Oryctolagus cuniculus: one gene and its partners. The protein of the gene in region 1 interacts with the protein of each later gene in a pairwise test. Links are inferred from orthologs where the notes say so. Each region holds a gene or a part of one and is shown on either strand. Other genes may lie near its edges. The genes, in order: FEZ1, PDCD7 and PAM16.

Evidence for each region.
Region 2: the proteins of FEZ1 (region 1) and PDCD7 interact in a two-hybrid assay, tested with the Homo sapiens proteins (2 studies listed by BioGRID and IntAct). The link is inferred for Oryctolagus cuniculus from reciprocal best matches to the Homo sapiens genes FEZ1 and PDCD7.
Region 3: the proteins of FEZ1 (region 1) and PAM16 interact in a two-hybrid assay, tested with the Homo sapiens proteins (2 studies listed by BioGRID and IntAct). The link is inferred for Oryctolagus cuniculus from reciprocal best matches to the Homo sapiens genes FEZ1 and PAM16.

Annotation. Positions count from the first base shown.
Region 1 is NC_091432.1:118,688,513-118,695,896, forward strand, and holds part of FEZ1 (fasciculation and elongation protein zeta-1), read right to left. Parts: intron 5,753-7,384; coding exon 5,481-5,752; intron 4,201-5,480; coding exon 4,120-4,200; intron 2,205-4,119; coding exon 2,129-2,204; intron 1,217-2,128; exon of another isoform or gene 322-1,216; intron 1-321. UniProt on the Homo sapiens protein: May be involved in axonal outgrowth as component of the network of molecules that regulate cellular morphology and axon guidance machinery.
Region 2 is NC_091443.1:88,136,581-88,144,727, reverse strand, and holds the start of PDCD7 (programmed cell death protein 7), read left to right. Parts: upstream 1-3,517; 5' UTR 3,518-3,567; coding exon 3,568-4,443; intron 4,444-6,264; coding exon 6,265-6,403; intron 6,404-8,147. UniProt on the Homo sapiens protein: Promotes apoptosis when overexpressed.
Region 3 is NC_091450.1:31,257,036-31,265,111, forward strand, and holds the start of PAM16 (mitochondrial import inner membrane translocase subunit TIM16), read left to right. Parts: upstream 1-3,101; 5' UTR 3,102-3,214; coding exon of another isoform or gene 3,215-3,217; intron 3,218-4,770; exon of another isoform or gene 4,771-4,971; intron 4,972-5,514; 5' UTR 5,515-5,553; coding exon 5,554-5,589; intron 5,590-5,602; exon of another isoform or gene 5,603-8,076. Other genes in the region: CORO7 (coronin-7), read left to right, coding at 616-702, 807-812. UniProt on the Homo sapiens protein: Regulates ATP-dependent protein translocation into the mitochondrial matrix. Inhibits DNAJC19 stimulation of HSPA9/Mortalin ATPase activity.

The DNA of each region.
Region 1 (7,384 bases):
CCAGTGCTGTGGCACAGTGGGTTAGGCCACTGCTTGTGACTTCCCTGTGGGTATGTTGGCTTGAGTCCCGGCTTCCTGCTAATGTGCCTGGGAAGGCAGCGGAAGGTTGACCCAGGTACTTGGGCCCCTGTCCCCCGCGTGGGAGACCTAGATGAAGTTCCTGATTTCTGCTGACTTTAGCCTGGCCCAACTCTGGCTGTTGCAGCTATTTGGGAAGGGAACCAGTAGATGAAAGATATTCCTTCCTCTCTCTCTCTCTCTCTGGTTGTCAAATAAATAAATAAATAAATAAATCTTTAAAAAAAAAATTCCCAAACTTACATGGATGGCCCAGCTGCAGGAGCTGGTCTTTGGCCTATGTCTCTGATACAAGGAGGTGGTAAGGAAAGAAACACTGTTCACAAATGCATGCAAAAATTTGCTAAGGGCCTGGCATGGTGGCCTAGCAGTTAACACAAACAAAAGAATAAAACAGCAGGTGCAGAAGGGCACCTGACTCAAAATCCCCATGTGGAAGATCACCTTCCTATGCTAGCTGGAAAGTAACATCAAGAATCGGAAACTCCGGGCCAGCACTGTGGACAATGGGTAAAGCTGCCACCTGTGGCACTGGCATCCCATTGGCGCCAGTTCAAGTTCTAGCTGCTCCACTTCTGATCCAGCTCCTTGCTAATGTGCCTGGAAAAGCAGCTGAAGATGGCTCAAGTCTTGGGCCCCTGCACCTATGTGGGAGACCCAGAAGAAACTCCTGGCTTCAGATCGGCCCAGCCTTGGCCATTGCAACCATTTGGGAAACGAACCAGTTGCATGGAAGATCTGACTCTCCCTCTCTCTCTCTGTCTGTAACTTTGCCTTTCAAATAAATAAATAAATATTTTTTTAAAAAAGAAATTGCCAAAAAAGAGAGCTCTCCTACAGAATCAGTATTCAGGCAAGATGGTAGTTTTCCTTTTAAAAGGAATAAAACTTCAAAGTATATTCCATCCACGTGATAGAAGAGACAGCCATAAAATAAATGCTAACCAAATGTGAACTGCTGTGACTAAAATCATGATACAAAATTTTATAGCCAGGATAATCCCAATGATAAAGAAAAGATATAAAATATGATGGCAGGAAACCACAAAGGTAGCCACAGTGGAGTGGGCAATAAATTATTTTTCTTTGTTCACTTCTCCACATTTCCAAAGTTCTCTCCGTGATGGATGCACTTGAGCTGTGATTTTTAAAATCAAATCGAATGATGTCAACAAACCCACTCAAACAGAAACAAACCTGCTTCTTCATGAAAACAAAAGGGTTTCACACTGAATTCCTGAGCAGGTATCTGTAACAAATGAATAGCCATTCCTTTTGCTTAAGACCATGATGAAGTACTTCACCTCCATCAACCCTTGTAGCTTGCCCAAATTATTTTTCTAGTACGTACCGCCGTGAAAACACAGACACCTATATTACGTCAGTCCATCTCTATGTGCTCCCTTCAGAAAAATTATAGAGCATATTTATGTAAATAAAGGAGTCTGAAATGAGTCAGGAGTACAGCAATGTACTTGGAATTTAAAATTCCTGATTCTCAGGGATGCAGGTTCTTTGCCAGAACCTATGGCATTCACTCCCCACATGGATAAAAAAGAAGACTACTGGTCACCTTGACAGTGGGCCCAGAGGAACACAGGCCCCCGTCCCTTCCCACGAGCTGTCCAGTGGCCCCACGCGGCCCCTCCTCCCCCCAGAGCAGCCTGCGGGATACTGGACCCCCTCCTGAGCTGCCATTTTCCATGGTGCTTGGTTGCCAGGGAAATCCAATTTCCCTTGTGATCACAGAGCCCTGACCTAGGATTTTTTTCTTCCTAAGAGAGCCACGCTGATGCTGATGGCTAACACCACACACACACCCCCTGCCCTTTGGGGGAAGGACTGGTTAATGTTTATAAAGAGATTCTTGCCTATCTTTCCCGTCAGCCTGATCCCCACCACGAAACCTTGGTTCTTGGTAAAAAAAAAAAAAAAAAAAAAAAAAAAGGCAGTCAGGCCCATGGACTGAGCTCCCTCCTCCAGAGACACAGTGCAGACCAAGCAAGGGACGGGGAGGAGGGAGAGACGGCCGAGGCCGAGAGGAACTCACTGTTGGTCAGCATCTGCAGGTCTTCCACGGACGGGGGAGAGGCTTTCTTCTCATAGGGAATGACTGTGTTCAGGTACTGCAAGACAAACAGGGCACACGGCCAAGACGTAAGGCACGGCCCCCCCTCCCCCTGGGTGGGAACCGTGCTTTTCTCTAAGACACACCTGGCATTCTCCACGACCCTCGTGGTCACCGGCACCCCAGTATTTCAGGATGTCTCCCCCACCTTCGGGTGGGGCGCCCCTTTCACAAAAGCGAGACTTTCCTGTCTTCAACCAGGAACACTTCCCTGCATCCTGAATTCCACGTGCTTCCTGCCCTAGAAACTCTGGCTGTGGAGGAAGCCTGGGGGGTTCTCCCCTAGGCTGACAGCAGGCAGCATCTCCAGGGGGGTTATGTTTTCTTATCCTTTGGGGCGCAATTAGAGAAGGAATTGTTTCTCTTTTAGGTCAACAATTGAGGGGGAAGAGAACCTCCACAGTCCCAGGGTCGCCGATGTTGGATTTGCTCCCTCTGCTGGATGTGAGGTGTTCCTACAACAAAACCTGCAAGGTCGGGTTCAGTAGAACAGGCCCAAGAGGATGTCAAAGACCCTCAGGCCAGAGAGACCCTGATGGGTGCTAAGGGGGCCTGCGGGGGTAAGAGACAAGTAGCACAGATATCAAGAGGCTTCTGTTCTAGTCTTGGCTCTGCCACCAGCAGCATTGGCCTTGAGAAAATGTCTCATTTCTTTGTCCTCGTATCCCACCCGTAAGCAAGGAGAGGACTGGATTATAAATTCCTAAAATCTCACCCCAGATTGCAGCTCTAGAATTCTAACACCTAGGATTCAGCCACAGATATATTTAAAAGACATATACATTTCATGGGCACTTATTCCGCTGTCTCTAACTTGTCTGCTCCTACACTGGTTGTGCCGCTTAGCTTTTGCACCCCAGGAGGGCTGGGAGCAGGACCGTCACCTCGGACCCTGAGGGGTTCGCCACAGAGCTCAGCACATAACAGGCGTACAGTATCGTTGTGCAGCTGCCTTAATAACCAGGCACACAAGCTGCTTCGTCGGCAAGTTATTGACTAAACGGAGCCAACGAGGAGATGCCGCAGCATGGGTTACAGTCGGAGCAGGGTGGCTGATGAGGCAGTCTTGGTGGTATTTGCTCAGCTGGTGATCCAACGTGCTAGAATTAATTAAACTCTAGGAAGGGATCTCCCACCACAGCATCCTCTTTTAGTGCCTTCTGTCCTGAAGACAAATTAATTCATAGGTCTACAAGCAGTGTCAGACTGTAAGTTCTGTCCATGTCCCAGAATACCAGAGCTCAAAAGAAAAGCAGGGACAGGTGTTGGGGGCAACGGTTATGACACTGCTTGGGACACCCGCCTTCCACATCTGCTGAGCGCCTGTGTTTAAGTCTTTGCTTCCTGCTGATGCACACGCTGGGAAACAGCAGGTGATGGCTCAGGTGGTTGGGTCCCTGCTACCTATCTAGGAGAGCCAGACTGATCCAGGCTTTAACCTGGCCCCACCACAGCTGCTGCCAGCATTTGGAGAGTATACCAGCAATGGGAGGCTTTTCTTCCTGCCTGCCTGCCTGCCTCCCTCCCTCCCTCCCTTCCTTTTCCTTCTTTCCTTTCCTTTCCTTTTCTTTCTTTCTTTCTTTCTTTCTTTCTTTCTTTCTTTCTTTCTCTCTCTCTCTCTCTCTTTCTCTCTCTCTCTCTCCTTCTCTCTTTCTTTCTCTCTCTCTCTTTCTTTCTTTCTCTGTATCTGTCTTTCAAATACATTAAAAGATGGATAACTTTAAAAAAAGTAACGTTTACCTTTTGAAACGGTACTTTATATTCCAAGTGACACAAAATGCTAGGACCTTCCCCTTGCTGGGATACGCCCCAGATCCTGGGCTAAGCCTTGTTGGCCACCATTGCCACGTTGTTGGGGAGGCCATGTTGCAAGGGTCTGGGAGAAGAGCCAGGAGCGGGGAGACAACGCGTACCTGTTTGTCGGTCCCTGAGGAGCCAAAGGTCTGGCGGATGCCGCTTTGCAGGATGTTGGAGATGCCCTCCATGCTGAAGCGCTGCAGGACAGAGACACTCAGGAGGGACATGGCCTTGCTGCTCCCACCCCCAGGGACTCCTGTGTCCTCACTGAACCATCCACACCCCTCCCCTCCCCCGGCTACCATGCTGTCCCCTAGACTCTGAGATTTGGAAGTAAATTTAAGACCTTGGCTAGGCCGGCACCGCGGCTCACTAGGCTAATCCTCTGCCTTGCGGCGCCGGCACACCAGGTTCTAGTCCCGGTAGGGGCACTGGATTCTGTCCCGGTTGCCCCTATTGCAGGCCAGCTCTCTGCTGTGGCCCGGGAGTGCAGTGGAGGATGGCCCAAGTGCTTGGGCCCTGCACCCCATGGGAGACCAGGAGAAGTACCTGGCTCCTGCCATCGGATCAGCGTGGTGCGCCGGCCGCGGCGGCCATTGGAGGGTGAACCAATGGCAAAGGAAGACCTTTCTCTCTGTCTCTCTCTCTCACTGTCCACTCTGCCTGTCAAAAAAAAAAAAAAAAAAAAAAAAAGACCTTGGCTAGAATTTAAGCCTAAGCTTTGCAAGAATAGAGTAGTCTCAAAGACTCTTATCTTAGTAAGACCCTCAGGGCTACAAGGCTCTCTGCAGCCCCCAGTCTTCCTCATTTGATTCTCTACGGTATAAATAGAAAAAGAAGGCAGAACAGTAAAACTCAGTTGTACGATGATGCCGAGATCTTAGGGGAACACAGATCGTCTGGCTACCAGAAAGGGTTTAAGCATTTGTCCTGATCTGAGATGCTTCTTTCCAAAATGCACACACCTGGATCTAGGTCAGTGGCCCTGGGGCAGAGCCCAGGCAAAAGTATTTTGAAAAAGCTCCTCCTTAGGTGATTCTACTGCACTCCTCTGATGAAGAGCCAGTGGCTTGAAGAATCCCATGAATAAACCAATAAGGCACCAAGACCCCTTCCCTACCAACACCTTACCTACCCCTTGGAAGACCAACCCCTGCGCCACCCTTGATTAGACAGTCAGGGCTGTAATCTGTGCCCAATGCAGAGCTCCCAGGCCTTCACCCATCTCCAAGGTGTTGACCGCAGAGAACACGGTGCCACCTTCAATCACACTTCAATGTTTCCGCCCTATCTCCTCCCATTAGGCTGGGAGCCCTCTCTGGGAGTGGAGGTGACAGGCAGCACCTCTCTCTCTCTCTCTCTCTCTCTCTCTCTCTCTGAGTTCCTGCTCACGAGCCCGCCGTGGGGTTGGTACCAGGACTGAAAGGGCTGGGGCCGGGGACGGGCACCCGGCTTCCCGGTGGGGCTGCTCACGTACCTTGAGCGGCATCTGGCTTCCCTTCTCTATCCGGCTGCTCTGCAAGCTCAGCCCTTTCTCTTTCCGCCTCTTTTTCATCAGTTCTCGCTGCTCCTTCTGCTTGTTCTGCACTTCGATAAGCACCGTGATGAAGGAGTTCTTCACCTCCTTCTCAAACTCCAGCTCGTCCCGGCGGGCCAGCTGCTGCACCAGCTCCTCCGAGAAGTCTCGGATGGCCCCCTCCACCTGGTCCAGCAGCTCGGTCAGCTCTGACCCAGACATGTGCCTCAGCCCTGCAGGGGAAGAGCACCCTGCAGGTGACACGGCAGCCACATCCTGCCTGAGCCCACTGGAGAGGGGACTGCCCTTCAGAGAGACCCCTAACCACTCCTAGAGGCCCAGGCAAGACCTTCCTGATTTGAGGGCAGGCCAGGAAGGCAGGGGCCCAAATATCTGTGGAAGAGAATGCCATTCCCAGGACACAAGGAGGCAGGCAGCCTCCAAGGAAGCCTGTGGACTCTGGGCACAAAAACGTGCTGGACAGACATGAGGTTTTTTGATCTCCTGTTCTTCCTGTTTTCTCTCCATCTCCAGAATATTCCTCATGTGAAATGGGTCAAGAATCGAGGGAGAGAAGGCAGAGAGATTTTCTGTGCTGAACGGCAATAGAGAAGTGCTTATCCCCAAGAAATGATCTACCCCGAGCTGACAACAAAATCATCAGGCCTCTTTTCCAATCACAGACCTGGGCCACAGTGCCCATATTCAAATGCTTAGGAAACACAAGGATGGCCGGCGCCGCGGCTCACTAGGCTAATCCTCCACCTTGCGGCGCCAGCACACCAGGTTCTAGTCCCGGTAGGGGCACTGGATTCTGTCCCGGTTGCCCCTCTTCCAGGCCAGCTCTCTGCTGTGGCCAGGGAGTGCAGTGGAGGATGGCCCAAGTGCTTGGGCCCTGCACCCCATGGGAGACCAGGAGAAGTACCTGGCTCCTGCCATCGGATCAGCGCGGTGCGCCGGCTGCAGTGCACTGGCCATGCCGGCCATTGGTAAGTGAACCAACGGCAAAGGAAGACATTTCTCTCTGTCTCTCTCTCTCTCTGTCCACTCTGTCTGTCAAAAAGAAAAAAGAAAAAAAACACAAGGAAGACTGGCGATGTACAAGGGGAAATGAAGCCGCTTCCAGTCAGCACAGAGCAGTCTGCTACTTTGAGAGACAGGGAACTTGGAGGGGGCAGTGTGGCATAGCAGGTTAAGCAGTGGCTTGAGACCCCCTCCTCCACCAGCACCACCTGTATCAGACAGCCAATTCAAGCCCCCGCTACTCTGCTTCCAATCCATCTCCCTGCTGATGTGCCTGGGAGGCAGCAGATGATGGTGCAAGTACATGGGTTCCTGCCACACTTGTGAGAGACCCCAGTGGAGTTCTTGGCTCCTGACTCGGCCTGACCCAGACCAGGCATTTGGAGAAAGGTGAACCAGCAGATGGAAGATCTCTGTCTATCCCTCTTTCTCTATTGCTGTGCCTTTCAAATAAAGAAATAAATGCTTTTTAAAAAGAAAAGGGACCTGAGACCACCATGGGAACAGGTAACTTTAACTTCTTGTCCCCCTATGACTTCTTGTTTGAAAATAGATTTGGGGAACATCTCTTAAACGTAGTTCCCATTTAACGGTATCTTTTCTTTTTAACTGAGAACCCATTTTTCCTTTGCCTTTCCCTTTCTGCTTTGCCTAGATATTTGCTGACTTGGCTCAAGCTTCCCTTTATTTTGCTCTTGGGAGATGTCCTCCTCCTCCTGTTTGTTTTTTGCCATTTCACTCTGCATCTCAGCTGTTTCCATGGGCCCTTTCTGGACACTTGCATGTTTGGGGCCTTTGTGTGGCTGAGAATGGCCCGATTGGGGCGGCTGTGAATGCAGCAA
Region 2 (8,147 bases), on another chromosome or scaffold:
AAGCTCTGGAAGTTGGACTTCATCAAAGAGGATGAATAGAGGGGTGGGCATTGTGGCACAGCGGGGTGAGCTATCGCTTGTGAGCCCTGTGTCCTGTCGACCTGACTACTTGCTTTCCATCCAGCTTTCTGCCAGTGTGCTTGGGAAGGCAGCGGATGGTGGTCCAAGTACCTGGATCCTTGTTACCACGTGAGAGGCCAGGATGGAGTTCCTGGCTTCAGCCTGGCCCAGCTCTGGGTGTTACAGGGTTTTGGGGAGTGGACTAGCAGATAGAAGATGTCTCTGTCACTCTGCCTTTCAAATAAATCTTTAAAAAAGTAAGACAGAAAGGCTACAGGCTGGGAAAAAATAGTTGCAAACCTAGTATTAGACAAAGGGCTAGTATCTGGACTATATGAAGAACTCAACAGTGAAAAAACCCAAACAATTCAATTAGAAAATGGTCGAAAGACATAAACATGCTTTTGATGAAGAGGGTGCACTGATGGCAAACGTGAAAAGATGTTCAATAAAATTAGCAATTGAAGAAGTATAAATTAAAATGATGAGGGGCGGTCCTTTAGCTGAGCAGTTAAGGCAACTTGACTGGGTTCCACAGGGCTCCGACTGATGCAGATCCTGGGACGCAGCATTGATGACTCCAGTAGTTGGGTTCCAGCACCACACAGGAGAGACCAAAGCTCTCGGCTTCTGCCTTCCAACCCAGCATAGCCCTAGCCATTGTGGGCTTTCTGGGAGTGAACTACTGGATGGGAACTCTCTGTCTCTCAAATACATATATTTTTTTTCATTTGACAGGCAGAGTTAGACAGTGAGAGAGAGAGAGACAGAGAGAAAGGTCTTCCTTTCCATTGGTTCACCCCCTAAATGGCCAGTATGGCTGGCGTGCTGCTCCGATCCGAAGCCAGGAGCCAGGTGCTTCTGGTCTCCTATGCGGGTGCAGGGCCCAAAGACCTGGGCCATCCTCCACTGCCCTCCCGGGCCACAGCAAAGAGCTGGACTGGAAGAGGAGCAACCGGGACGGAATCCGGTGCCCTAACCAAGCCTAATGAGCCGTGGCACCGGCTCAAATATTTTTTTTAAACGATCATTGAGATACTACTACATATGTACCAGTATATCTAAAATGAAAATTGTAACACAAAATGACAGATGCCGAGAAGCCAGAGCACTCATATACTTATTGCTGGTGGAAGGTGCAAGGTATCCGGCGCATAACAAATCTTCCCAGGCAGATAATTAATTCATAGGCTTTTATTGGGGTTCCGCTCCCGGGCGAGGTTCACCGGTCCCAACAGAGCAACAGAGCGGGGGCCGGAGAAGTTGCACGTCAGAGGTTGGGAGGGCTCCTTTTATAGACTCAGGGCATGGGGGTTAAAGGTTGAGGCGGGTCTGATCCTCATTGGTTGACCTTTAGGCACCCGCGGGGACCTTGACAAGGACTTTTCTTCCCTGCAAGTACAGGTAGGGGCTTCTCCATTCCCGGAAGTATAGGCCTCCCTACTTGCGGATCCCAAAGCTACCAGAAGGTAAAGTGGTCCAGCCACTCTGGAAAATTACTGGGCAGTTTCTTAAAATAAACATACAACCACCACATGACCCAGCAATTGCACTCCTGGACACTTTATTCCAGAGACGTGAAGTTTATACTTCCTTTTTTCTTGAAGAACTTTCTGCATTAACAGGAAGTGGGAATCTGAAGTGAAGCCAGGACTCAAACCCAGGCACTCTGGGATGCAGGCATGCTTCTCTTTCTCTCTCTGTGTAACTCAACTTTCAAATAAATACATAAATAAAATCTCTAAAAAATGCTTTATAGCAGCTTTATTTTTTTTTTTAAGATTTATTTACTTATTTCAGAGGTAGAGTTAGAGGGAAAGACAGAGAAAGGTCTTCGATCTGCTGGTTCACTCCCCAAATGGCAGCAATGGCAGGAGCTGGGCTGACCCAAAGCCAGGAGCCAGGAGCTTCCTCTGGGTCTCCCACATGGGTGCAGGGGCCCAAGAGCTCGGGCCATCTTCTGCTACTCACAGGCACATCAGCAGGGAGCTGGATTGGAAGTGGAGCAGCCAGGACACAAACCGGTGCCCATATGGGATGCCGACATTATAGGTGATGGCTTTACCCGTTATGCCCCTATTTTTTTTTAAAGATTTATTTATTTACTTGAGAGGTAGAGTTATAGGCAAAGAGAGAGAGATAGAAAGGTTTTCCATCTGCTGGTTTCTTCCCCAAATGGCCCCAACAGCCAGAGCTGGGCTGATTCAGGTTGTGATATTGCACTACAGTTCTGCAAGAAGTTTCCACCAGGGTTGAAGCATACATATCATACATATGATCTCCCTGTATAGCTGCCTTTTTTAAAAAGATTTATTTATTTATTTGAAAGTCAGAATTATAGAGAGGGCAGGGAGAGAAAGAGAGAGAGAGAGAGAGAGAGAGAGAGGTCGGTCTTCCATCTGCTGGTTCACTCCCCAGATGGTCGCAGAGCTGGACCGATCCGAAGCCAGGAGCTAGGAGTTTCTTCCAGGTCTCTCTCCCAGGGGCCTGAGCATTTGGGCCATCTTCTACTGCTTTCCCAGGCCATCAGCAGAGAGCTGGATTGGAAGTGGAGCAGCTGGGTCTTGAATTGGCGCCCATATGGAATGCCGGTACTGCAGGAGGCAGCTTTACCCGCTATGCCACAGCGCCGGCCCCCCTGTATTGCTTCTTAAAACTGCCCAGGAATCCACAATTCTCAAATTATGTTTAAAATACAATCACGTTGTACGGCCTTCCTTCACCTCCTGTTTCAAGTCAGTGGTTTCCTGTTGTTCTTAGTGCTCCATCCACACTGGCATTATCTGAAAGTGCCCGCAAGGGCACACACCTTTCTGTGCTATCACCTGGGATTGTGCTTCTCCCTCTTCTATTTAACTCCTGTTTCTCCTTCAGATTGCAGATGAAGCCTCAAGTCCTTAGAGCAACCTTCCCAAATCGCTTCCACTAAGTCAAGTACTATCACACTTCTACCTTCGCATGACTGCTTGATCAAAGGGTTTTCTTTCCCAGACAGGGCCACCCCTAGGTCTTTGTTTCACTGTGCCTATGGCGCCTAGCTCTGCGTCTAGCACAGTAATTAAGAAAGGAGAGTTTTGGGGGCCGCCACAATGCAGCGGGTTAAGCCACAGCCTGCAGCTTTGGAGTCCTGGCTGCTCCACTTTCCGATGGCGCTCCCTGCTAATGTGCCTGAGAAAGCAGCCGAGGATCCGCAAATCCTTGGGCCCCTGCACCCGCGTGGGAGACCCAGAAGAAGCTCCTGGCCCTGGCTGTTGCGGCCATCTAGGGAGTGAACCAGCAGATTTAAGATCTCTCTCTCTCTCTCTTTGTCTCTTTTAAATAAATAAATAAGGAATGAAGAAAGAGAGAAAAAGAAAAACGAAAGCTTTAAGATTGAATGAGCGCCCACTCCAGCGCGCCGGGCTTTCTAGACAGGACGCACCGCGTCGCATGTCCAAATACGTCACTTCCGCCCGGAAGACGCTCCCTGGGAACCAAGTTCCTGTCACTTCTCAGCATCTTGTGAACATGGCCCTGCCGCCCTTCTTCTCCGCAGGTCGTCCGGGCCCGCCGCCTCCGCAGCCACCGCCCCCTGCTCCGTTCGGCTGTCCTCCGCCGCCGCTGCCCTCCCCGGCTTTCCCGCCGCCTCTTACCCAGCGGCCCGGCCCTTTCCCGGGGACCTCTGCCCCCTTCCTCCAGCCTCCGCTGGCTTTGCAGCCCCGGGGTCCCACGGAAGCCTCCCGTAGCGGCGGCGGCGGCGGCAGTGGTTCCTTCTTCCCGGTGCCGCCGCCGCCGCCGCTACCGCCGCCGCCGCCCCAGTGCCGGCCCTTCACGGGGACCGACGCTAGCGAGCGCCCAGGGCCACCGGCTCCAGGCCCGGGGCCTCCCTGGAGCCTGCGCTGGCCTGAGGTGCCGCCACCGTCCGACGTGCTCGGGGACGTGGCCCTGCAGCGCCTGCGCGACCGGCAGTGGCTAGAGGCTGTGTTCGGCACCCCGCGGCGCGCTGGCTGCCCGGTGCCCCAGCGCACGCACCCGGGGCCCAGCCTAGGCGAAGTGCGCGCGCGGTTGCGCGGGGCTCTGCGCCTGGTGCGGCGGCTGCGCGACCTGAGCCAAGCCCTGCGTGAGGCCGAGGCCGACGGCGCAGCCTGGGCCCTGCTGCATGCCCAGGCCGCTCCCCTGCGCGCCGAACTAGCCGAGCGGCTGCAGCCGCTGACCCAGGCCGCCTACGTGGGTGAGGCGCGGCGGAGGCTGGAGAGGATCCGGCGCCGCCGGGTGCGGTTTCGAGAGAGGGCTCGGGAACGCCAGGCCGAGCGGGAGGCGGAGGCGGCCCGGGCAGTGGAACGCGAGCAGGAGATTGATCGCTGGAGGGTCAAGTGCGTGCAGGAGGTGGAGGAGAAGAAGCGGGTGAGAGCGCTGGGCACGTGCGGGCCTTGGAGGTGGTGGCTGAAACTCGAAGCAGCCTGAGACTTTCAGCTGTGGTATTTTTCAGGTCTAACCCGAATGTTTCTTTAGCCATAAAGTGAAAAGATAGCCTTCCCGCCTCGTACGTCCGTGTTCATTGGGTATTCCTGGTGTGCAGAACACAAAACAAAAGCTCTAGTAGTGTTTGCAATAAAGTCCTGGCGACACAGGTATGGGACTTCGCAGTGGCGTCGCTGGCCGACAGGTCCCTTGTGGCCTGCTCCAACGTTCTCTCCACTGAGCTTTCACGACCCACACGGGGCTGGCTGCGTGCCACCCGCGCTGATTTAAAGGACAAAAAAATATAGGGAACTTGGGGCTTTACCTCGAGGAACGTACGTCCTGATTGGCTGATGGGTTCACAGTGATTGCCGCAGGATTCCTTTGTTTACGACGTTTAAACCATGAATCACCAGGTTCAGCAGTGGTGTTTTTGAGTGCTTACTATCATGTACGCATGAGGCGCAATGCTAAGCTTGTTACACACCAGATCTCGAATATACCAATCCTGTGGGGTAGGGAGAATTATCCCAATTTCACCATTAGGCATTTGAGGCATAGAGAGGTTAACTTGCCAACAGTCACGTGACCGGACTGTGAGCCCAGGTGCTCTGATTACCAAGCCTGTGGCTCTCAAGCACTTCAGTAAGGCCTGCAGAGAAGTGGAAACTGGCCAAATAGTTGTTGAATGCATTTCACCAACTTTGAAGGCTTCTGGGGTCCCTCCCTCCCCACCATCGGCTAGTGTCTTCCTGCCCTGGAGTCTGGTGTAACTTCACTCTTAAGTGTACTGATGGGAGCTTTAGCATTGCTCTCATTGCTGTAAAGGAGGCACAAGTCAGTCCAGTGGACAGTTCATGGGGCTCTGTTGTGGCAGGTCCAGTGCAGCTGCTAGGAATGGAGATGAATAGGATATAGCCCTGGCCCTTGAGGGTCTTAGAGCCCCATGGGGGATCCTGTCAGTACAGCATGGTGTGTGATGCTATAGGAGCCCAGAAAAGGGGTACTTAAGCCTTGGGGGAAAGGCTTTCTCGATGATTTAATGGCATCTGAGATGAGCCTTGGAGGAAATGTCAGAGCCAAATGAAAGCAACAGGTGCGGCTCCAGGCAGAAGTCAACCAAACAGAGGAGTGAAGCAGCGTGGTGGGGGTGGTGGTGGGGGAATTACAGGCGCTTACTTGACTTGTGGGACAGAGCCCAGCAGGCGGGTCCTTCCTGCTGTCCACCACGTGTTGGAGCCTGAGGAATGACTTAAGGAACTGGGTTATTATATCCCACGGGAACCAAGTCGGAAAGAATGGAATAGTGGTCTTTTCGGTGTTTGTGAGGGGGCCACGTGAAAGAGATCCGTGGGGCTTTAGGGCTATATTGGTCATCGCTCAGACACCTTGGTAGAGTTCTGGGCCTCCCCAGCCCCAATCCTTCTGTCTCTGAGAATCCGAATCATCAGGACAGTTGGGTGCAGATGTTCCCTGCACTGCCCTTTCAGAAGCACTGAGGCTGAGCCAGAGCAGTGCCTGTGGCGAAGCTGCCGAGAGCAGAGGTTCATCTTTGGGATGACGGTTACTGTCCCTCCGTGGAGCAGGGAGCCCCTTGGCTGGAACGTTGTGGAGGGAAGTTGTGTCAGGCCCCGGAAATTGAGATGTAGACTCAGCGGGTCTTGCCCCAGGGACTGGCTGATCCCCCCAGATCTCACCACCAGGCAGCCACTCTGCTGGGAGTGTGTTCCTGGCGCTAGGCTCACAGCCGTGTTTCCCCTACAGGAGCAGGAACTCAAAGCTGCAGCTGATGGTGTCTTATCTGAGGTGAGGAAGAAGCAAGCAGACACCAAGCGAATGGTGGACATTCTTCGGGCTTTGGAGAAACTGAGGAAACTGAGGAAAGAGGCTGCAGCAAGGAAAGGTAGCTGTGGCTTTGCGTCCCCCCCACACACACACCTTTTTTCTTTCTTTCTTTCTTTCTTTTTTTTTTTTTTTTTTTACCCTAGTGGCTTCCCACCCCAACATTTTTGGAAGAAAAATACTTTATTATTTTCACTCTTTAGAGTCACTGGGAGCCGAAAGCCTTGGAAGATGTTTAGCCCTTGGACAGCAAGGTTGGAAGGGGAGGCAGGTGTGGGAACCCCTTGACTCACCGTTCCTACCCCAGGCGTCAGTGGCCACGCTTTTCTGAATGGGCTTGTTGTGGCTGGTCAGCTTTGCCAGCGGGCCACGGCACAAGCTTTCCTGCCCGCCCTTGTTGCTCCACAAAGTGTTGGAAACGTAATGTGCTCCTTCGGCTACATCTCATGCCTGAGTTACTGCGGTGTGAAGAGGCGTGGCCAGCTGGACAGGGTGGAATACATTGCAGAATGCACGGATGTCCCCAGCTTCCCTGATTGTTGCTTTTGGGCTCAGAGGAGGGAGCACCAGCACCCTAGCGGGGCAGTCCAAGTTTCTTCACAGAAGTTTGTTCTAGGCATGCTGGTTTTCTAGAAGTCACCCAGGCGTGCCTTCCGCTTGCATGTGTGGATCCTTGTTCTTGCCAGTGCATTTGTCTGCAAGGCCCTCAGTCCCGTCTTTGCCATTTGAAGATCTCCCCGTGATTCAGAACTGAATACCGTGCGGCCTCCTCCCTCCTTGGTCGGGCCGCAGTGACCTCACACTCCATTTGTGCTTGGTTTGTCCCATGTTGCCTTATTTAGTAGGTTCTAGGCCTCTGACATTTGCCAGGGAGATTTGGAAGTATACGAATTAACAAGTGCTGTTGTAGCAGGTGATTTCCTCTGTGTGGTTTAAAATGTGAGGGTACTTCAGAAAGTTAGTGGAAAATGGAATTAAGATGTTTTATTTTTATACAAAAATTGTTTTGAAATCCAAGCATAATGTTCCCATAATATGCATTTTCATGAACTTTTTGAAGATACCCTTGTATGTATGACCTTGGAAATTTTTTTATACCAAAGTAAACTTCTCAAGGTATTTATTTTCATTTTTATTTGAGAGGCAGAGAGAGACATGTGGAAAGAGATCATCCATCGCTGGTTCACTCTCCAAATGCCTACAACTGCCAGGGCTAGGCCAGGCTGAAGCCAGGAGCCAAGAACTCGGTTCCAGCCTCCCACATGTATTGGAGGACCTATTATTGGAGCTGTCGCCTGCTGCCTCCCAGGGTGTACATTAGCAGGAAGCTGAGTCAGAAGTGAAGTAGCCAGGACTTGAACCAGGCACTCCAGTATGGGAGATGGGCATCCCAAACAGCAAGTTAACTGCTGTGTTACACACCTTCCCCCAAAATAAGCTTTCAGTTGCATTTACCACAGCCTTTTTGAAATACCCTCATATCAGTGAAAACTGCAGTTCTCTTCGATCCCTCATAAAGTTTTGGAATGTGACCCTTGTGCATTCAGCCAGCTTGTTCACTGAGCAGTACGACAGCTTTCAGCGTGGCTACTTCCCATCCTGGCCTTGGAGTCAAACCCCCCTCCCCCAACCCCTGAGTGCTGATAGGTGCAGCTGGACATCTAAGCATGACCACTTCACAGACTGTTTCATGGGCCACACTAGAATTCTCGCTTGTACTTAAAGCTGTGGGGAACCACTCAGAGATCTTAGACAGAAAGTGAAATGATGACAGAGTTCAGTGCCAGAGCTGAGGAGGCAGAGGG
Region 3 (8,076 bases), on another chromosome or scaffold:
CTGGTGTGCATCCGAGCGTCCGAGGCACTGACTGGAGATGCCGGCCCCTGTGTCTGGAGCCACGTGCTACAGCCTCCAGCTCTGGCCCTGCCTCTGTGTCTCCACACCTTTTTCAGTGAAAACCCATGACCTTTGTGCTTTTTCTCTGTTTTTATTCTTATTTCTTTTAAGATTTATTTTATTTTTTGAAAGGGAGAGTTACAGAGAGAGAGAGGGAGAAATGGAGAGAGAGATCTATCCACTGGTTCACTCTCCAAATGGCACAACAGCTGGGCTGGGCCAGGCTGAAGCCAGGAGCCAGGGGCCAGGAGCTTCTTCTGGGCCTTCCATGTGGGTGCAGGGGCCCAAGGACTTGGACCATCTTCTGCTGCTTTCCCAGGCCATAGCAGAGAGCTGGATTGGAGTAGAACGTCTGGGACTTGAACCAGCACCCGTGTAGGATGCCCGCATTGCAGGCAGCTGTTAACCCATTACACCACGATGCTGGCCCCCCTACAAGCTTTGCTGGGACCCTCATTGAAATGGCTCCTCACAGCATGGCCGGGGCTGTAGCCATGGGGCCTGATGCTCTGGGCCCCCCCCATCCCTCGGTCTGACCCTCCTCCTTCCCCCCAGCTGCTGAGCGCCATGGTGGCCAAGCTGGGGAACCGGGAGGACCCGCTGCCACAGGACTCCTTCGAAGGCGTGGACGAGGACGAGTGGGTGAGTGGCCAGTGCGCCCGGCTCCCCCCACCCCCACGCAGAGTGCGCCGCCTCCCTGCCACGGCACCCTTACCTCCCTCCCACTGCCTGGTCTGTGCCCCCAGGACTAGCTGACCCACCATCAGCTCCGGCCTCACCTGCTGCTGCCGTGTCCCAGAACCACACCCCACATCTCACTCAAACTGGAAGACGCCTCCCTGGCCTGGCATGCCGCAGCCCAGAAGCCCCTGGCCCCTGGGCCTCCTGCACCCCTGTGGACTGTCTTGCACCTCTGCTTTCTCTGGGCCTGGCTGCCTCACTTCAGCTGCCTGCTAGCATGTGGAGCCAAGGGTGCAGGGTGGGGGGTCCACAGCACGGTCCTGGGCAGGCCCTGGGCTCCTCATCTCCCCCGCCCTCCTACTGGTCTGGGCTGATCCCAGCCTGGGCAGGCCTCGGCCGGCACCTCGGGCTACCACCTGCCATCCCATCTTGCCCGCTGCCCCAGTTCATCAAGGACCTTGGGGGCTGGCCCCCCACCATGCCTTTTGGAGCAGCACCAGCCTCAGGGGCCGGGGACCAGTTGTCCTTTTCCCCAGGCTCATCAGGAGAGAAACATCTCAGAGGCACTGGTCCAGCCAGAGGGTAGGAGCCCCACAGGGACTGGCCACGGGTGCCCTGGATGTTCTCAGCAATTAAACCTGTCGCTGCCCGTGCTGTGCTGTGCTGGTCTCTGGGCTGGCTGAGAGGGGAGGGGCACAGTCGTAGGAATGAGCGGCTGCCCGTGTCCGGCTCGGCCCCATGCTGCTGGGAGTTTGCATACTTGACACACAGGTTTCCGGCAGCGCCTGGATGCTAGGACGTGTAGCGGACAAGAGAGACAAGTATTTCAGAGAGCTTCCGCTCACAGCCGTCTGTTCAGGGACCCAGGCTGTGTGCGAGAGCAGCCGTCCAGATGCCGCGAAAGGAAGTGGCTCCGTGCGGGGGCATCGTGTTCAGGGACGGAGGAGGTGACCCTGAAGCTGAAAGCTGCGCCCCGAAGGCCAGTGGAGAGCCGGCCGCAGAGCCTGCGGGGGGGGGGGGGGGGATCAAAGGCACCAGGCTGGGGGTGGGGGTGGGGGTGGGGCTGGCAGTGGTCCAGGGCACAGTCCATCAACAAACATGGGAGTGTCTGCCTCGCCGCAGACAACCTTCCAAGCCTCTGACATCCAGGAGTGGAGGAAGAGGTAAGAGTCCTGCCTTCTGGGAGGTGCTCAGAACGGGCAGGTGTGGAATGGTGGACAGGGGCAGGGCCAGGGGCAGGGGCCATGGGAATGGGGAGTGTCTGGCACCGAGAGATCAGAGTTTTCTGGAACTAGATGGTGCCGGTGGCTGCAGAGCTCTGAAAATACTAAAAAGCACTCGACTGGGCCGGCGCCGCTGCTCACTAGGCTAATCCTCCACCTAGCGGCGCCGGCACACCAGGTTCTAGTCCCGGTTGGGGCGCCGGATTCTGTCCCGGTTGCCCCTCTTCCAGGCCAGCCCTCTGCTGTGGCCAGGGAGTGCAGTGGAGGATGGCCCAGGTGCTTGGGCCCTGCACCCCATGGGAGACCAGGAGAAGCTCCTGGCTCCTGCAATCGGATCAGCGCGGTGCGCCGGCCGCGGCGGCCATTGGAGGGTGAACCAACGGCAAAGGAAGACCTTTCTCTCTGTCTCTCTCTCTCACTGTCCACTCTGCCTGTCAAAAAATAAATAAATAAATAAAAAATAAAAAATAAAAAATAAAAAAAAAAGCACTCGACTGTGCACTTTGAAGTGGTGAGTGTGGGGCGGGCACTGTGGGACACTCGCATCCCATGTCAGGGCGCTGGGAATGCCTGAGCTGAGTCCTGGCTGCTCCACTTCTGATCAGCAGTCCTGCTGATGCATCATGGGAGGAAGCAAGTGATGGCCCAAATGCTTGGGACCCTGCCATCCACGTGGGAGACATGGAAGAAGCTCCTGGCTCCTGGCTTTGGCTCGGTCCAGCCCTGGTCATTGTGGCCATCTGGGGAGTGAACCAGTGGATGGAGGATCGATCTCTCTGTCTCTCTTTCTCTCCTTGTAACTCTGCCTTTTAAATAGTAAAGTTTTTTTTTTTTTTTTTAAAGTTTCCCGTTTTATTGAATGCACCAAGGGTTTGGCATCTTCCTCCATATACTGGTTTATTTCATATAATGTTTTAGTTCCAACTATCCCTGCAAAACCAAGGGAATAAACTGCCCCACGTTTGAGCGAGGTGCACTTGCTGTCGCTGGTGTAGCGCGTGGACAGTCGGAGAGCAGCGAAGGTTCGTCCCCGGTTCCCGGTACGCCGAGGAGCGCGGGGTGGGGGTGGGGGTGGGGCCTCCCGCCGCACCCCGCCCCTCCTTTACGTCACCGCCGGCGCCCCGCCCCGGCCGAGCAGCGCGCATGCTCAGAGCGGCCTCGCGCACGCGTTCTCTAGCAGCCTTTGACCTTTGAGCCGGGGCCCCGGGGCAGGAAGCCAGCAGCGGCGCCCCTGCCTCAGAGCGGCCGCCATGGTGAGGCGCTGCGGGCGGAGGGGCGCCCGAGCCCGGGCCTGGGAGGGAGACACAGGCTGCGGGCTCCAGGCTGTGCGACCGCCGTGGATGTCGTGTGCCCGGCCGGAAGCAGGGTCGGGGAGTCCAGGGGAAGTGGCGGGAAGACCCGTGGGCACGGGGCCCTGGGGTCCTGCGACGTCGGTGTTGTCCCCGTCGAGAAGGTGGCTTTTCCAAGGACGTGGGAGACCTGAAGTGGGCCCCGAGACACCGAGAAGTGTGGGCGCCGAGAGCCGGGGCACGGGCCGGTGGGCGCTGGAGCGCCGGTTCTGTCCGTTCCCCACGCGGCCGCCGCGCAGGTGGGGCGGGAGGACGCGGCGGCCCGTGGAGAAGTCTCAGCGGCTTCTTCGGGGTCCTGCTGCTGGCGTTGCCGTCTTACGGATTAGCAGCCTGAAGCTCAGGTCCCACGGAGTCGGGGGCCAGTCCTGGGCGCGCGTTCGCCGCCGCAGCCTGAGCCCCAGCTGAGCTGGGAGCCCCGCTCTCTGCCAAGCAGAACGGCGCGGGGGGAGAAAGCAGCGAGTGCACGGGACAAGGCGACGTGACAACGCATAGAGAGGCGTGGGGAGGGATGAGTAGGGGCCTGGGAAGGCTCGGGGCGAGGGCTGAGTCCTGAGTTTCGACAGGTGGGAGGGGGGCGGATATTGAGGGTGAGTAAGGTGTGAGCGCCGACCTAGGGTTAGAGGGTCTAGGGGAGAGGGAACCGGAGTCCCCAGCTGGGGAGGGGGCTGACCCCTAGCGGCGGGGTCAGGGGGCATTCGGAAACCCTATCCAGGGGCATAGAACTATGGCCAAAGCAGAGCTGTGGGTGGCCTGGTTAAGTGTCGATCCTTAGCCACATTGATTCAGATGTGTCTGGGGCACCTGCTGCACCAGCGCCGTCCTGGGAATACTGTGATAAGTGCCCGAGTGGTGGTCCCTGCCCCACCCCGAGGGCTGGGAGCGTGGCAGGCAGGGTCTGGAAGCTGGCTCCTTGGAGCTTCTGCCCCACATCGGTTCTGATGGAGGCCCTCTGATTCCCTGGGGCGCGGGGAAGCGGCGAGGGTGACGTCCACCGGAACTGGAGTCTCCGCTCGGCAATTCTGGGCAGGTGACCCACTTGTACGTTCCCGAGTGCAGCCCACCCCTGCTTTGTCCGTGGCCCTTTTCCCGACCTCATGGCTTCACTCCCAGAGGAGAAAGCATCCGTGGTGCCCTTTGTGGGTCCCGGAGTCGGAGCCCCACGGCCCTGACCGGTGCTCACTAGCTAGCTAGACCTGAAGGTGGGTGCCACGTGGGCTGGTTTCTCTTGCTGGGACCTTCAGGCCTAAGTGTCAGTGGACTGTGGGGTGCCTTGGGGCCTTGTGGGAGGGATTTCAGCTGCTGGCTTTGATTATCCGTGGTCGCTGCACTGGCGAAGCTCGGCTCCCAGGAACCTGCTCTGAGCATGGTGAGGCCCAGAGATGGTGCTGGGAGGGTTTGATGGGCGCCTTCTAGCCCGAAGCACGGCAGCCGTCACTGTCTTCCTGTCCACTTCTGAGGGCCCAAGTCTTCTGTGAGGAGGGTGTTCTCTCCAGAGAAAACTGAGGTTCCGAGGCTGAGTCACCTGCCCAGAATTGCCGAGCCGAGACTCCGGTTCCGGTGGACGTCTTGGCTTCCCCGCGCCCCAGGGAATCAGAGGGCCTCATCAGAACCCTCCGCACTGTCTGGCCGTTGCCTCGTTTGTGACGTGAAGAATAGCAGTAAGTGGACCCCGGGGGACGTTGTGGCACAGCAGTTGAAGTCGCTGCGTGGGCATCTGCAGCTCTCACTGGAGTGTGGGTTTGAGTCCCAGCTCCTCTGCTGCCAGTCCAGCTTCCTGCTGATGCTGCTGGGAGAGCAGCAGCTGATGGCCCAGTTACTTGGCCCGTCCGTGCCACCCACGCAGGAGACCTGCATGGAGTTCCAGGCTTCTGACCCTGGCCTGGCCCAGCCCAACTGTTGTAGGATCTACAGAGTGAACCGTGGATGAAAGGTGTCCTTTTCCCCCTCTGCCCCGTGGCACGGTGACCTGCGGTTCCAGCTGTCCCAGGGTGGGGCGCCAGGCTCCCTACACTATCCCGGTGGTCAAGGGAGCTGCCCAGGTGGCCTCCTGGGCCACCAAGGTCCCTGTGGGAGCTGTCTTGTCTCTCAAGGGGGGCAGCATGGCGGGCACCGTGGCAGGCTCTGGGACCACCTGTGCGCACGTGCCAGCTGTGTGAACCTGGGCAAGTCCTCAGCCCTGATTGCAGTTTCCTCTCCTGTAGGCCGAGGCCAGAAAGGGGCTGTAACAGGGACTGCCTGGGATGACGCCTGGACGGTGCTTGGCATGCAGCCTAGCTGTAGGTGCTCAGTATTTTTTTTTTTTTTTTTTTTATCTTATTTGGCAGAGTGATAGGAAAAGAGATGGAGAGCTCTCCCACCCACTGGTTCCTTTCCCAAAGGCCCACAGTAGTCAGGGCTGGGCCAGGATGAAGCTAGGAACCTAGACCCCTGTCCAGGTCCTATCTCTGTAGTCTCAGTTCTCTATGTATCTATCAAGGTTTATTTACTTATTTGAAAGAGGGAGTTACTGAGAGAGAGAGGGAGAAACAGGGAGGTCTTCTGTCCACTGGTTCACTCCCCAAATGGCTTCCATGGCCAGGGTCAGGAGCTTCTTCCAGGTCTCCCACATGGGTTCAGGGGCATAAGCACTTGGGCCATCTTCCGCCGCTTTTCCAAGCCATTAGCAGGGAACTGGACGAGAAGTGGAGCAGCTGGGACTTGAACTGGGTCCTTTAAGGCATTGCAGGTGGAGGCTTAAACCACTGCACCATAACACTGACCCAAGGTCTGTTTTTTGTTTTAAAGATTTATTTACTTATTTGGAAGAGTTAGAGAGACAGAAAGAGAGGTCTTCTATCTGCTGGTTCTTTGCCCAGATGCCTACAACAGCCAATGCTGGGCCAGGCTGAAGCCAAGAGCTGCTTCCAGGTCTCCCACTGGGTTGTCAGGGGCCACGCACCTGAGCCATCTTCGGCTGCTTTCCTAGGCCGTTAGCAGGGAGCCGGATCAGCAGTGGGGCAGCAGGGACTGGAACCAGCGCCCATATGGGTTGCCGGCATTGCAGGCGGTAGCTTTACCTGCTGCACCACAAAGCCAGCCCCCAAGCTTCAGTTCCCAGCATGCATTGTGTGGAGCATCAGTCATTGGCCTTGTCAGAAAAGTAAAACAGTGATTACAAGGCCATGTGATGGGCCGTGGTAGCAGAGAATGAGGCTGCTGTGGGAGGCGGCCTCTGAGGCCTGGATGCCGTGACCTGCTGGCCATCAGCGCTCGACCTCAGAGCCGCCTGTCCCCTGTAGCAGTGGCTTTAGGCAAGAAGAGCAGGGTCAGATGAGATACACACACACCCGCACACGTGAGCCAGAGCCGCGGCTGTTCCTTGCCCCTGCCACCCGGGCTTGGCTTTCTGCAGTGAAATGTCCACCTAACTTGTGAACTCCAAACCCACTTCTGTATGCATTCCCTTACAGGCCTGTGGTCACATCCCGCCTGTTAGGGACGCTAGGTCCTTGGACGCCAGAGGCCGGTTCTGGAGTCTAGAGTCCAGTGGAGTCTGTGGAGCCCCTCGCTGGGCTTGCTCGGCTCTGGATCCCGCCGGGCGGCAGTGCTCGCTTGTTCCCGAGGTTTCCCTCTGGTGCCAGCTCCTGGAACCCACAGCCTTAGGGTGTGTGTAACCTCGCCCCTCTGCTTGTGAGCTCCCTCAGTGCAGGGCTCAGAGGCTGTGTATCTGCAGTCAGTGCTGGGTGGAGCACCGTGAGCAGTGGCCAGCCCTGAGCAGATGGGGCTGCCCTACTCTGAAGTGTTTGGTCCTTAGAGTGTGTGTCTGAATGCCCTCCTATTGGGCTTTCAGCTCCTTGAAGGTGGAAACTGCTTTGCTCTAAGTAGTTCCTGCATGACTTTAAAAATTCACTTATTTGAAGGGCAAAGTTGAGGGCCGGCGTCATGGTGTAGCTGGAAAGCCACCACCTGCAGTGCCTGCATCCTGTATGGGCGCCCGTTCGAGTCCCGGCTGCTCCACTTCTGATCCAGCTCTCTGCTATGACCTGGGAAAACAGTAGAAGATGGTCCAAGTCCTTGGGCCCCTGTACACGTGGGAGACTGGGAAGAAGATCCTGGCTCCTGGCTTCGGATCAGCTCAGCTCCAGCTGTTGTGGCCATTTGGAGAGTGAGCCAATGGATGGAAAACATCTCTGTCTCTCTCTCTCTCTGCCTCTCTGTGACTCTGCCTTTAAGTATATAAATAAATATTTTTTAAAAAAGAAAGAAAAAAGGGCCGGCACCGCGGCTCAATAGGCTAATCCTCCACATGTGGCGCCGGCATCCCGGGTTCTAGTCCTGGTCAGGGTGCCGGATTCTGTCCCGGTTGCCCCTCTTCCAGGCCAGCTCTCTGCTGTGGCCCGAGAGTGCAGTGGAGGATGGCCCAAGTGCTTGGGCCCTGCACCCCATGGGAGACCAGGAGAAGCACCTGGCTTCTGCCTTCGGATTAGCGCGGTGCACCGGCCGCGGCGGCCATTGGGGGGGTGAACCAATGGCAAAAGAAGCAAAGGCAATGAAAAGAATGCTTAAAAAAGGCAGTTAAAGAGATCTTCTGTCTGCTGGTTCCCTCCCCAAAGGGCTACAACAGCCAGGAGTTGGGCCAGCCTAAAGCCAGGAGCCAGGAACTCCATCTGGATTCCCCCGGGGGTGGCAGGGTCCCAAGATCCTGAGCTGTCTGCCGCTCCTTTCCCAGCATGTTGGTGGGGAGCTGATCAGAAGAGAAGCAGCCGGGAACCGGTGCTCAGGAG